2 linked regions of the Struthio camelus genome follow. The protein of the gene in region 2 binds, or shares a complex with, the protein of the main gene of each other region. Links are inferred from orthologs where the notes say so. Each region holds a gene or a part of one and is shown on either strand. Other genes may lie near its edges.

Region 1 (7,818 bases), about 25 Mb from region 2:
CTAAGCTGCTGAATATTTTTTCTGGGTCTAAATCTAAACACTCCGAATACTTAAAGGGTTTCTGACTAGCTCTTAATCTAGTAGTCTTTACCAAGTATTCCAGAAAGCAACTACTGAACATAAGTAGAATTATCTTCTGATACAGACTGAATGCTCTGAAAACTGCATTTGCATGAACCTAATGAATATTGCATCCCTGTTAAGGTACACTTATAGCTAAATGTGTGAGTGGGAGACCTCAAGGGAAAGAAAAATAATGTTTTGTAGCTCTGCAGAAATTGAAGAATGCAGAACTTACTTTTAAACTGCAATCTCCCCTTTCCTCTTTTTAATGATAGCAATCATCCATAGTAAAGGGAAGACAAAGCCCATCTGAAATACCAAATCTTTCCAACAGTTACACCATTATTACCAAACGCGTATGTATTCCTCTATTTATGCTGTACTTCCTATTCATGCCAGGAGGTTGCCTATTACACATTTTATGTAAATAGTGCTGCTGCTGCTTCTCCTTAGTAGTAGTATTTTGTGTGAGTCACACAGCTGCACACTGAAACTTCTCTGAGGTTCATCTCCGTGTTCAGGCTGGAGAAGTTCCTGCAGCTAATTACTTTTTCAACTGCAAAGTTTTATGGAAAGCTTTCTTGCCCACTTGAAAAGAACTTGAGCTTACTTTTTCCTGGCGACACTTCAGTTCAGGGACTAGCTGCACAAGGTTCCCAGATAAGACAAAATACTCCAGACTAGCCATCTCAGTAGGCTGCAGTTGGCCACACTGAGCAACATGCCCAAGACAGCAGAGATGATGCAAGTGTGAGATGGCATCTTTTCTCCAGCACTCTCTGGAGGCTGAGTTTTATCCAGCCCTCAGGAAGACTCTTCACAGACCGATTTCACTATTAACCCCTCCACCTCAGATTCTCAAGTGTAAAAGTGATGTGCTCTGCCTCCTCATGCTGCAATCTCGCCAAATACTACAGCTGAAGACTTTTGGGCCTGCTGGGTAATCTAGCCTCAGAGGATAAGGGGCGCTTAAAACAATGCCGGACACAGAAGTAGATGGGTCACTTGTTAAATAGCATTCTTCCTTCTGAGAGACTTAAACAAGAAACTCCAGGGCGCATCTCCCTGCCTGAAGCATTGCTGCACTGGACTGATCTTTCTGGCCAGCACAGCAGAATCAACACAACATCCCTTTGGAGAGTCCAAGAGTCGATTGAGTGTGCTAGGCTTTTCTTACCATGTTTGTAAAAGCTTAGCTGGGAGAAGCAGGGATAGAATAGCTATGGGCAGAAGTATGACAGTTCTGGGGGTATACTTTGGGGGCATTTTGTGCTTAGGCTGCTATGGAGTGAGTTGATGCTTTTGGCACTGAATTGAATCTCCTCTCCTCCTCTCCTTTTTCGGAAGGGATCGGAAGGGAATTTGAATATGAGGAGGAAGGCTAAATTCTTTCTTTGACAGCTAGAAACTGTTTGTGTGGTGCTTTCTCCCAGGACTGAACACTATGGCATAGATAAGCTTGTGGTTTTGGCTAAAACAACTAGCTCTGTAATAGTTAAGTATTTAATAGTCAGGATACTTAGGTAGCTGAAAGCCGGGACAGCTTTGACAGCATAGTTACAATAGCTGACATTGTAACTAGCAAACATTTCCAAGGTAGGAGGTTTTTGTTTATACCAGTAAAATGGAGCTTTTGCTGAGAGAGCTAATTCCAGCTTCCTCAAGCGAAATAAGCTATCCTGACAAAAGCACAGTTTTCTCTGCTTATACCTACAGCTGCACAAGGTGCTTTTGCTGGCACAGCTCTGCCATCAAAGGATCTTATCTCATTACAGCTCTGGCTGACACAACTGTGCCAGGAGACTTGGTAGCCAGGAGACTGACCTGAACATGCTCTGGCCCAGCTCCAGGGTTCACACCCCACTGGGAATAAAGAGGGCAACTTGCAGAATCCACCGTTCATCTAACCTGAAAGGAAAGCATGTGCACAGCCTGGGTGTGAAATCATTTCCCATTTGGAACAAGATCTCTCAGCTCCTTCAGGTGTTGTGTTTTGGGGAGTGGTTTTGGTCTGAATGAAAACTTCTGGGGCTTGATGAGGTGCTGAAATCAAAAGAAGGAAACTGGCTGCATTGTACTTGGCTCGTTACCATATTTGAAAGGCCCTGCCTGTGAGCAAGCACCGATACTGAGGTGTGGGGCTCACGGCCACTGTGCTGCTAAAGCCAGATGAATTCCAGATGAGAGCAAAATGGAAGTCTTGATCACTAGAAGTCATTAACACCCCCAGTTAATCCAAGTGAGTCACTTAAATTGTGTAAAGTGAGACAGTAATGCCCATATGAGTGTTGTAAGGATAACTGCATTAAAAACTATGAAGTACGTTTATCCTTCAGGAATGATGCTCAGGCAAAAACACCAAACAGATGCCCTGCAGATTTAATAAGTGTTATTAATTGTTGTTTTGCAACAGGCTTAATCTGGTCTCAGAGCCTGCTGCCACTGGAAGGCATGGTCTTGCTTGGGCCCCTGCCCCAGCTGCACGCTCCAAGCACCTTCTTTGTGCCAGTGATCTTGGGTGTCTTGCTCATCCCCCTGAACTCCACAAAAGAAAACAGTCATTTTTTCACTTATTCAAAACAACCTGACACTGTCAGGAACCTACAGACCACTAAAGACTGATGCTAAGGAGGGGCTGGCAACATAAAGCAGGAGATGGAGGAAAGACAGGAGCACCCAACTGGGTGGTAGGCAAAGTTAGTCTAGGATGGCAAAACCGTGCCCCTGGTTGTGCAATGCCTTCAATGTGTAAAAGATTCAAAAATTGCCTGAAGAAGATAATGGAAGATCATGTATGCTATACCTTCAAAATGCCTCTGACAGCTCTTGAACTTTTAGGTTTAACGCCAATGTATTGATTTGTAACTACAGAGACAATAAGTGTCACTATTGCAAAGTGAGGGAAGATGTCTTTCTTTTCACGTCAAGCAGTGAAAAAGGTTGGAAAACACTCTTATTTGTCATAATCTCTTGCAGCCTTCACAGGAGGGACTAGTGAGATGTTTGCATTCTCGGATACTGCATTTTCAGAAAGGTAGAGAACATCAACCTTTTCTTACAAACCAGCCTGGAGCAAAAAAGGCCAAGCTATTTTGGGAGATGAGAGATAAGCAAGCCAGAAAGCCTTATCAGAGATTTGTTTTAACTTGCAAAGGTATTTTCTTTGAAGAAAGAATTCAAATAGTTGTTTGAAATGTTCTGTCAGCTCAGATTTGTTTCCAGACAAAACTTGCTCATACACTGTCCTGACTAAGCCCTTTTGGACTAGATTCTTTAATAAGACTCTTTGACTTTCTGGATAAAAAAGTAATTAAAATGTGGGGAAAAAAAGAAAAGAAAAAAGAAAGAAAGGGAAAAAAAGATAAATCAACAGAAATGAATAGCTGATTCAGAAAGCAAAGACTGATCAATATTGGGGCTCAACAGGGATCAGTATTTGTCCTAAGCACTTGTTACTGTACGAATCCAACTTCAGTCATTTCCAAGCAGGATGAGGAGTGAGGAGCTTGGATCTGGGAGGCTTGTGCTTCAGCCAGCACTAACGCTTTTTCATTAGCGGAGAACTTGCACAGCTGCACAGCAAAGGGTTAAAATTGGCTGGAGATTTAATGAAGATTTGAGAAAACAGGCAGAAAGGCCAACTGTAGAAACCGCCCCTAGAGTGTCTCCTCCCCTCCAAGACTGTAGTTAGACACCTAAATTTTGAAATGGAAGAACTAGACATTAGAGGGATCAAAGAAACCCAAGAACGATTGCATTATGGTTGCATTTTTTCCATTTCTTGTAGTCTAGAACGTTATACTCCACTTTAATCTGAGATATACTACAACTGTATGGCTAACACTGCAGACTTGCCTGAAAAGCGCTTAAACAGCAAGTGGTACGTTCCAATTTCTGTCGAAAATTTGACACGTTTCCTTTTAGCATGTTCTTGAATGGAACCTTTCACTCCTTTAGAAATCAAGATTCAAAACTAAGTACCAGTAAAACTTCTTTCCCCACACTTAAAAAAAAACCATGAAATGAAGCGTTTTGTCCAACCCAACCTTTGGAGGAGCCGACAGGTGGAAGAAGGCTGCCCTGTGAGAATAAAACCCGACACAAAATTAAAAGCAGTTAGCTGGCTAGGCGCAGCCGCCCGGCCGGACCCCCCGGCGCCTGTCAGTTAACGCGGCTCCCCTCCTGAACAGGAGCTTGGTGGCGACCGTTGGCAGCGACCGTTGGCCGGCCTTCGCTGACCACGTCACCACGCCAGAGGGAAACGTGAAGGAAAAGGCTCATTTTAGGGGTCAGAGGTGAGGCAACTGATGAACGCGGGACGTCGCCGGCCGCCGCCCGTTCATTTAAGCGGTCGGCAACGTGCGTAAAGAAGGTGGGGATCTTCTCGAGGCTCCGACGCTGCCCCTTCCCCGCGTCACCTAACGCCGACGCCACCCGGCCGGGCCTCCCCCATGCCGGCGCGGGCGGCGGGAAGAGCCGCGCAGGCGCAAACCCTGCGGCACCACGAGGACCCGCGACGGCCGAAGCCCGCCGCGGGAGGCGCCTCCCTCCCTCCCCGGGGTGGGGGGGGGGTGGGGGCGAGGAGCCGGTGCGGGAGGGCAGGGCCGCGGCCCCGCGGAGTGACAGCCGCCGGCTCCAATCAGAGCTGCCGCCCGGCGCTGCCTCCCCCCGCCCCGTCGGGGAGGCGCGGCCCCGGGGCGGGCAGTGACGCCAGCGGGCGCCCGGCGCGGCGCGGCCCCGCTGGGTCCCGGCCGCCGTGTGCGAGGGCGCGGGCGGGGCCGGGCCGGGCCGGGGCGGGCGGTGGCGGCCGCCCGGAGCCCATAGAGGAGGCGGAGGCGCCGCGGCGGAGCCCGCGGGGCGTTAGGCGCAGGTAAGGGGCGCTGCGGGGAGGGCAGGGGGGTCGGGCCCCGGCGAACAAAACCAAACTGCGGTAACTTTGGGTGGCGGCGGGCCGGGCCGAGCCGTGCCCCGACGGCTCCCGCCGCGCCGCCCCCGCGGGCGCTGCTGCGGGGCGGGCCCGGCGGTGGGGAGGGGGTGGCCGGGATGGCGGGGGCGCCCGCGCTTGGGTGCCCGGGGGCGCGCGGGGAAGCTTCAGCCGTGGTTCCTTTTCCGGGAAGGTGAGGGCAGAATCGCCGCCTGGCCGTGTAGTGGGCTTGAAGTTGAGAGCTGGAGAAGAAAGGCTGAGTTTTCCCGAGCTGCTTTCGCTGCATCCTCCCTGGAAGGAGAAAGCAGGGCCGGGTCGCAGGGAGGCTCTGTAGTTAGCGTGTGACTTTCGGGAAACTTATTTGCGCGCCTGGAGCTGGCGTAGCGTTTTGCAGAATTTTGGGGAGAGGCGAGCAAGCTCCAGCTGAGTGTCTTCAAGCTTCAGTAGGACGTTTCAGCTACAAGCGCTGTAAAACTGAAGTTGCGAGTTGTTCCTTGGAACTAGCAGATGTGTTTTGCTTTAAGGCCTGGGTTTTGCACATCCTGTAATTATTTCTTTTAGGTCTGTAATGTTTCTAAAAACTGAAATAGCTGTGTGAACTCACACCCTGGCTGAGGTGCAGCTGTAGCAGTAAAAAGGTGCTTTATACCTATGTAGTTATTTCCGTGTGGGAAAAGAAACAAGCTGTGTTTTTGAATGCTTTACAGTAGTGTAACAGCATGCATGTGCTCTCCTGTGGAAGTGAAGCACTGCTGATGCTGTGCAAAAAGCACAGATGAAGTGTTTAGGGCTCGAGCTCAGCTGTGTCTGAAGCATTCAGAGAGAGACTTTGCTGGTTCTTTTTATTTCAGCCCAAGGAAACACACTATCAACAGCAAAACATGTAAGCATTGGTACGTATTGAAATGGCTGCACGGTTGAGCAATACAAGTGTCTGAATTCCAAAAACTAAACAACAAAAATGGGTCACTCAAAGTGAGAATGTTCTTCCTGCTTGCATGATCAAACATCTGACAGTAAGATGTTCTGGTGTGCTCAAATCCAGATGTATTGCTTCTATTAAAGGTAACAGTCGTAGCTTAAGGATTTATGTTTGTGAAGGACAAAAATGGCTTATGGTTATAATAAAAAACATGCATACGGATATCAGTAAACCCCATCTGCTCAGTGAGGCAGTATGGCGGATAGGTTAGAGAGGCATCCCAGAAACCAGGAAAACTGAAATCTGTATAAACTCTTGATTCTAAATGCAACCAACGTTTTTGTCTCTTCAGCTCTTAATTTCCTACTTGCAAGAAGTAGCGTCCTGTGGTTTAGCTTCAATCCCATTCCAGGAGAATTTGACAATAGGATTTAGTATAATTTCCTAGAAAGCTGTATCACATAGATTGGTTCCTAGAGGCAGAAGGAGTTCTTCTGTTTGCCAGTGAGACTGACTGTCAGCGGGTGCTGCGTTGCTCATAATTTAAGATTGGTGTCCCTGTGCCTGGAGTATGAAGTTGATGTTTCTGTCCTCTCTGATGGCAGCAGAAGCTCCATATGTTTGCCCAGCGGTAGAGCTTGGTCCTTAGCAGCTGATTCTCTATCTTAAGCAGCATTGCTCCAGTTTTGAGGCATACTCTCTTTGAACGAGGTGCTGTTAAGTGTTCAACAGCTGCTGACCCTCTTAAATGCAATGCTGGCGAGAGCCTGAGTCAAAAAGCATGGGTCTGGATTCAAGCATTTCCTCAGCTTTGGTGAGTTTTGACCTGGGTTTTGTGCTGTTTGCTGCCTCAGATCTGGGTTTAGTAGTTCTAGTGAAAAATATTTAAGCTGGTCTGTCTTTTCTGTGTATGTTTACAGCAGCTCTGTGCTCCTGAAATATGGATGAGTAACATTTCTGCTTGTCCCTGAAATGCAGGGTGGAGCACCTTGAAGTCAGGGATGTCACATGAGGCAGAAGACTGTGTTGAATGTGATCTTTTTTTCCACTTGGATCCAGATTGTGGGCAGAAGAGCATGGCCAAGTAGCTGGTCTGCTCTGTGCTGGAGTAGGTAAAGGTAAGAGGGTCTGACAAGAATCCTCTATTTTATTACTGAACCATCAAGTTTCTGAGTGGCTCTCTGGTAGAAGACCCTAGGTCCAAACTGTTCTGTTTTCTTGCTTTCTCTTACAATAAAAATCCAGTTCTGCAGGTGATGAGAAGAAGAGATACAGTGGGAAATGCCTTCTTTTTTGTGGCTGCTTAGAGTCAGGTTGTCCTTGGATGGCATTGTCTATTGCTACTGTTAGAGAACAGTGGGCTCGATGGACCCTCGGTCTGAGCCTGTAGGACGTTTCTTACACTCTTGCTTTTAAGTGCTTGTTTTACTTCTCCTGGGAGCTTCTGCAGCTGCTGTTTCTGGGGCTTTTAACTCCTGTGCAGTGCTGTGCTAGAGGCTCTTCTGTGGAGACAGCTCGTTGCCTCGTTGGGCAGCTTGCCCCTGCTGTACAGTAGTAGCTTCTGAGAAGAGACACCTAACTCGATGCAAAACTGACGCACTCTGTGCGTGGCCTTGCGTCTGCTGTTTCCAGCTGCTGCTAGGGCCGAGTGAGCCAAGGTGTCGGACCGTTTCTGCTCTGGGTTGCACTGCTAAGGCAGTGTAAGACACGTGGCAGGAAGCAACAGTGGGTCCTGATGAAAAGGTCTGTGGAGAGGAATGGGGAGTATTACTTAGCCCACGTCTAAGTAACGATAGGTGTTAACGTTCCTGAACTTGTGGCCATTCCCAGGAGACTGAGGTTCCCATGTGGTGCTGAAAGCCTTTCTGGTCCCATCACTCGCTTGTGATACAGACTATGAAGTCTATTG
Region 2 (6,907 bases):
GGGAGACCAAGTTGTAGGGCTTTTGCTGTGATGGTGAAGATCCCTCTGGAGATGATGCTGGCAAGGCAGGTTTCAGGGGTGGTGGTGTCAAGGACAGATATCAGACTGGGAGTGCTTGGAGAGAAAAAGCCATTTGCAAAAAGGCACCTAGTAAATTCTGCTGGATGCTCCTTGGAGGAGAGTGAAAAAACTGGGAAAATGGTATCATTGCTCCTGACACCTGCAGTTTTCAGCTGTGTTGCTACTGTATTATTAAGTTGGAGTTTAGAAATTACCGGGCCTATAAAGCTGAAGAAGCATTTTAGAGCAGCGTTTTTGGGGCATCTGCCAAGATACTTAGCCATTGTTCTGATCTAGCTCAACTTTTGAAAGTATTTTCTTTGTGTACCTGTCTCAGGTGTCAGAGTTCCTTGTTATAATAGACCAGTTTTTAGAATGTTATGGCTAAAGATAGAAGATACCCATTTTTATTTGAAAATTAGGTTACAAATGGAAGTCAGTTGAAAAGTGACTCCAGATTTCTTTGAATATACAATATTTAATATAGAGTCCATATGTATTTTTAGGAAGACTTTCATCCAGATGTGAGCATATTGTTAGCCATCCCTAATTCAAGTTTTCTGTCAGATGGCTGCTTTCTGGGACAAGAACTTCAGACAAATTTTTAGTGGTTGTAAGAGCATAGAGAAACTGTCTAATGTTGGGGAAGAATGGAGCTAACCCAAAAGTTCATTCAGAATCTAAATTGGGTCAAAATGTATGTGTTTAAGCAGTGAAAAAGATATATTTTTTTTTTGTGGGTGTCTGATGAAAATGAAGCTCTTTTTCCACTATCTGGCAGCCAGAGCATACACTGAAGAAATAGTGGAAACCTGCATGGTGCTAATGCTTGCAAGAGTCCCAGTTCAGTTTGCTGACACAAGACACTGTAGAAGGTCGCAATGTTTGCACTGGCCTCCCTTTGCTAATTACTAATAGTTGCTTTCAGCTTTTTAAAAGAAGGCAGTAATTAGAACTAGAGAAAACTACCCTTAGAATATTTTGTTAGAGGGTGCAAATCTTGTTGAACTGAAATATTTGCAAATTCAAATGGGCTTTATTTGAGTTAAGATTGGAAAAATTGTTCCGTAGTAGTGAAACACTAACTCTGTGGAAAAGAGCTTTGATTACATTTTGATTTTTTTTCTCCCTCTAATGACTTCTTTGTTGTGTGATACAATTAGCATTAAGGTCAAATTGAAGCAAAAAAAACTTTTCCGTCAAGATCCCATTGTGCATATCTTCACAGTTTTTGATGCAAGAAAACTTACAGATTTCAAAACTCTCTGAAATTCCTTGTGAATTCTTCTAAGTCTGAGCTTCTGCTTCTCTGACAGTGACGCTAGTGCTGGAGAGCTGATATCATTAGGGGGTATGAGTGTAGTAGTGAAGGGAAGGAGTCAGTATCATTCAGAGAACCTGCATGTAACCCGTACACAGAGTTCACTAAGTTTTGCTTTCTGACTCAACAGACAGAGCCTGAGCACATGCTGAAGAGCAAATAAATTTCACATGTACATTGGGCTAATTGCAGGTAAGTGTAGTGATGTACTTAGTCATACCTTCCAAATATAATCCTATTAGCAGTCTGATTTAGACTAATTAAATCAATCTGTTTTACACAGGAAATCAGTCCCACTGATTCAGTATGTCATTCTAACTGAACAAGAGTGTGCATGTGTGTGTAAACACATTTATTTCTCTAAATCTTCATTTTAGTAAATTGAGTTTACCTTTTAAAGGCAAGGATCAAATAGAAATTGTAGGGACTGAAATGGGAATGTCAGCTTCAGAACGATTTGAATCTGTTCATTATATATGGATTTTTGAGTACTTATTGTCATGTTTGATATAGTGATTCTCTTACCCTTTGTCATAGACCTGTGATAAATTTCTGTTGTTTGTATCTCATTGAACTGCAATATATTCTTAATTCTAAAACTGTTTGTATTGATCAGTACATTCTGTAGTAAAATAATATTGTTGGATTTTGCTCAATGTTAAATATATTTTGCAGTTGGATTTTTTTGTGCTATTTATGCCTTGGGAGGAGGAGAGGGAGCCAAGTATAGAGGAGCTACACGTTCTCGACTTGTATTTTGTGCAATTTCTCTTCTTTCTTTTGGCACTTTGTGCTTTACGCGTCTGTCTAATTCAATTCAGTTTTTTTGAAACCAGAGTGCTTCGTTCTAACTGCAGATAAATTTGACATTGTTTCTTTCTGTTTCACTCCTGTGTATCTTTATTCTTGAGTTTTTTAAATCCTGAAAATAAATGTACCACTTGAGTTAATCATCTTACTATGTGTTTTGTGCTGTTGATTATTTTGATACACAAAGATTAAGTTGCGAGTCAATTACACTGAGTTCAGTTATTTTTTTTTATGTGGTGCAGAATGGTGTCATTAAGAGAATCTATAAACCATTTTAGGAGGTGCCATACCTTGCAGTGTTATTTTCCCTAGGGAGTCAGACCTTGGGCAACATGCTTATTTTTTAGAATGTGCTGGGAACTTCTTTGTGGGAGTAGTAGTGTAGAGCGGTTAGGGAGCTGTATACTTGCACTCGCATACATATGCAGTTGTATCTCTGCCTGAAAAAAACAGGGGTAAAAGCATGCTAATGCCTGGACCAATTATATCTTCAAAGGCAAGCAGGTATTTGTGTAGCCTCTACTGCTGTAATACAGTCCATAATAACACTCCATTTGGAAATGAAATGATGATAGCCCCCAAAGCTTGGGTTAATGTTGCGTGCTGCTTTACCCCATTGAGATCAGCCAGCCCCTTCTTCGGGTTACTTTCAGCTTTCAACTGTTTTGAGAATGTGGGTGTATCTGAGTGCACGGGGCAAAGGAGGGGGAATGGATAACCCTGGTTCCCTTGCTTGTTCAGACAGTTGACTGGCAGCCAAAAGGTGCTGTGTTTGTGGAGCTAAAAGTCCTAAAGGTAGAGATGGGAGTTCATATTTCTGTCCCTACCTACAGTCTTTGGCTTGTAACCACTTACCTGAAGGACGGTCTGACTAGATTAACAGTCAACTAGATAGCCAACTGATTTAATGACCTGTCTGAAATGCATTGTAGGAGAGGAGTATGCCACTAGTTTTTGTGGAATTCGTATCTGTGCAACATTATGACTAATAGCATAAGGTGCCAGTATGTAAAAATGTTAAATAGCTTGCAGTAGCCATATTACTTTTTTTCACTCTGTGTACTGTTTCCCCCAGGTCAAGGATCGCATACCTTGGAGGGGATTTTGGGTGCAAGGGTGAGTGGGCTTTCATCATATTGCTTTACCTGGAAGGTTTGCTGGATTTCGGTGTCCATGCTTCAGTCTGCTATTCAGGAATGCTCCACATGTGCACCCACACACATGCACGTTTTACAAAGCATATAATGAGACTGCAAAAGCTAGATGCTTGTTCTGCAACAAATTTATGCATGGCCTTTGCAGAGTTTCACTTTTGCCTTAAACCTGTGGCTAGCTGTTTAAACAGAATCATTCCTGAAATAGATGTGGCGTAATATTTGCCTCTTAGGAGATACTGCAGCATTTACATGCAGATTTTTAGCTGTGAAGGATAAGCTCTTTCATGTTTGGAGCAAAGCCAGCTTGAAACTTGGCGTATGTTGCCAGCTGCTCTAATTCCACACGTTGCCGGAAGGTGAGCAAAATGCTTGGCAGGCTCTGGGAGTTAAGTAACGCCTATTGTTGTTGACTCTTCTGATCACTTTTAGGTGACAAAGCAGTTATTTGCATAAGACTAAAAAAAAGTGTTTGACCAAAAAGCCCAGCTCTAATTTAAATGCAGTACCTGGGGTTGGTTTGTCAAGGTCTTAGGAGAGCAAATACAGGAAAAACAAACCAAGTGACTTTGAACTGGTATTTGTTACTAAGTTCAGCCACATTTCTCAGGGATCCAGGATTTAATGTTTGTTTCTGCTCTATGCAGTTGCTAGCGGTGTGAGCACCTGAAGTTGAGAGGAAGGGGAATCTATTTTCTGGGGAAGAAAATGAGTGACCAGGGTAATTAACAGGTAACTCCCAGTACAGGTAAATTGTTAAGATAATAATGCTTAAAATCAACTTGCTCTGAATTTAGAGAGACTTACTTTAATTTAAAAGCAATGTTATATTTCGCTTAGAGAATGGTTGTCTCTTTCTGTATTCTGTCTTAGATATCTGTATCTACAGTAGAAAGATAGTTTGGGGATAAACTGCAGAATGATGCAGGATCTGCTTGAGAGAAAATATACTGTTAATGAATGGCTATATAGTTTTATAGCTGTAGATTGAAGAGAGTTCAACATCGATGAGTAGGTACTCTTTCTTTCAGCAGCCAGTGAGAACAAAGACTGTCTTGTGTGGGAGAGTTAACGTCATCGTAGTCTCCTGAGTTAGGAGTTTAAAAAAAAAAAAAAATCATTATAATTATGTACTGGCTGAAATTCCATGTGCTTGCGAATTAATTAGTATTAATGGAGGAGTAAATTCTTCTTTTAAACTTTGCTTTGCGATTTTGCTTTTTGTAGTTAAAAACAAACCGCTTGTAAAATATCATTGCTTATGCCCAACTTCTAACTTAAAAGCAAAATTAGTACTGAGGCTTTTGTGCTGCCATATCTGTAGGGAGGAGCCTCTTTGTGGAGGAAAGGAAGTGAAGAGTGGTACCTTAGGCACTGGTGTACCCAGGTGGCTAGTCAGACTGTAGTTGCGTAAAGCGGAAATGATATGATGCAATAACATCATAGACTGGCACTTTATAATTGAGGCAAACACCTTCAGGAAGAAACTTTGAAAGAGATCTGGTGACTCAGGAGATGTTTATGGAATGAGTTAGTCTTCATGCAAAGACTTGCAAGTTTCACTGAAATGACTGAAAAATTTGAGAGATGCTTACAAAGCACAGATGGTATCTCTTGCTTGGATTTGAAAGAGTAATTTTTGCATTTGATCAGACTCCAACAGGCTTAGTTGTAGAAGTCTTTAGTATTTCATCTGTTAACGATCACAAGGAGATTTCGATATCATTTGTGGAAACGTTCTTTGAGTTGTTCAGCAAAATGGCAGAAAAACAGAGCAGCCCAAGCCCTGTCCTCCTGACCCACCCCACTTTGAACTGCAGACTGCACTTAGACACTTCACATCTTTTTATAACTCTAAGGTCAGCTCCTCTTGGGTCAGAATTTGGGAATCCAACGTATAGAGGAAATGAGAACTGAGTGTTGTGGTGAGTGGGTTTTTTGTTTTTGTTGCTTCCCCGTGTTGCTTCTAGCTAACATGTTTTATGATTGCCCTTAAGAAACAGATTGCCTGAAGGGATGTTGCTCTCTGCATCAAAGTCACCTTCTGGCAGATTGGGGTAGAGAAAAACATACGTTGTTAAAGGATGATGTAAATGAGGATTAAAGATGTAAAAATATTTTTCTTGCATTTTCTGGTACTGAGTGCTTGTTTCTTTGCTCGTTGTAACTTAAAGGTTTGAGATTCAGTATTCCTAGGTTTTCTTCCAGCTTGAAAGAAACCTAAAATCATGAGCAGAAGAAAAAAACATAAGGCACCCTTAGAAAGTTTGGAGCAGTGGAAAGGAAGGAGGAAGTGAATACTGAGAAGTTTGTAGTGGAGATGGTGCTAGAACTTTGAAGGGAAAAATAAAACTCTTTGTTTCTTTTTCTTGAGAGAGAGAACAAATTATCATGTGAAGTTCACTCTTTGAATCGTATCTAGTACAAAGTTCATCTGATAAGTTAAATGCAGTTCCACGTTTACAAGAGTGCTGAATTTGATTTGATCTTCTCCTTTCCTTTTTAAAGACTACTGGCAGCAAATAAAGTACATGCTGGGCATTTCTCCAGAGAAAAATAACAATCACTGGTATTTTGGCCTAAATACTACAAATGAATTTTCAAAAGCCAAAAATGTTTCTCTAATTTTGCTTTCCTTAGAGGAATCTTGATTTGAACTTTGAAGCTTTGCAAACAGTCTGCTCATCCTGTAAGGTAATGGTTATTCCTCAGAAATAATGTGCTTTGATTTTTTGCCAAAACAAAAACCCCCAAAAGTTCATATCACAAAGATAATCTGGCGTTCTGTAAATCTGTCTTGAAAACTACCCTGAGTAACAGGATCGTCTGAGGATGAATGACGCAAGATGTCTCACCACGTTGCCGCCTTTGTTCTATACCACAAACGTATTTATAGAGTGATAAACTGATATTTCTCAAGACGTTTTTTTCCTCCCTTGTGCACTGGATATGTTCAATGTGCAGCCATACGTGGTGCTGACAATAACACTTGGAACAAGACAAACCTTTCTAGGCTTTAAGTTTCAAGATGAATCCAAAGCTCAGTGCAGGCTTGCTGAAATGATGTTTCCATAGAGGAAGAACAAGGCTGCTGCAGCAATAGCTTACACTAGCAAGAGTTGATGTAATTTAGAGGATCTAAGTAACTCCTACAGAGGTAATCATTTGTTTTCACAGTACTACATCTCAAAAGAGATTTGGTGGTGTCATCTTAATACCACCTGGATTTTATGCACACATAGGGATTGTGTTCTCAGATGGTTATTTGACTGTCGTCTCCCGGAAAGAGTTACCGGAAACTAAACTGTTTAAAAGTACTTGTTTGTGTCAGTAAGCTAGATAATTGCAATCTTTCCTTCTTGCATTTAATGCCAAGAACGAGGACTTTTCAGTAGTTTAATTTCCCTTCTGTATTTAGTTCCTTCCTGCTATCTTGGGGCAAGGTTGTTCTGTTTCCAAGGCTGAAGGATAATGCAGGCAGTGTTAACTGTGCACCAGGGAACCAGCTTCTCAAGGTCATGGTTATATTGAAATTCCATTTACTCAAAAGTGAAACGAAAAA

What was found. The genes of interacting proteins can lie anywhere in the genome.
Region 1: PHLDB2 (region 2) and PPFIBP1 share a complex: the UniProt entries of both Homo sapiens proteins name them as parts of the cortical microtubule stabilization complex. The link is inferred for Struthio camelus from reciprocal best matches to the Homo sapiens genes PHLDB2 and PPFIBP1.

Annotation. Positions count from the first base shown.
Region 1 is NC_090942.1:77,321,995-77,329,812, forward strand, and holds the start of PPFIBP1 (liprin-beta-1), read left to right. Parts: upstream 1-4,803; 5' UTR 4,804-4,933; intron 4,934-5,187; exon of another isoform or gene 5,188-5,880; intron 5,881-6,887; exon of another isoform or gene 6,888-7,027; intron 7,028-7,818. UniProt on the Homo sapiens protein: May regulate the disassembly of focal adhesions. Did not bind receptor-like tyrosine phosphatases type 2A.
Region 2 is NC_090942.1:102,251,635-102,258,541, forward strand, and holds the start of PHLDB2 (pleckstrin homology-like domain family B member 2), read left to right. Parts: upstream 1-3,886; 5' UTR 3,887-4,093; intron 4,094-4,738; exon of another isoform or gene 4,739-5,270; intron 5,271-6,907. UniProt on the Homo sapiens protein: Seems to be involved in the assembly of the postsynaptic apparatus. May play a role in acetyl-choline receptor (AChR) aggregation in the postsynaptic membrane.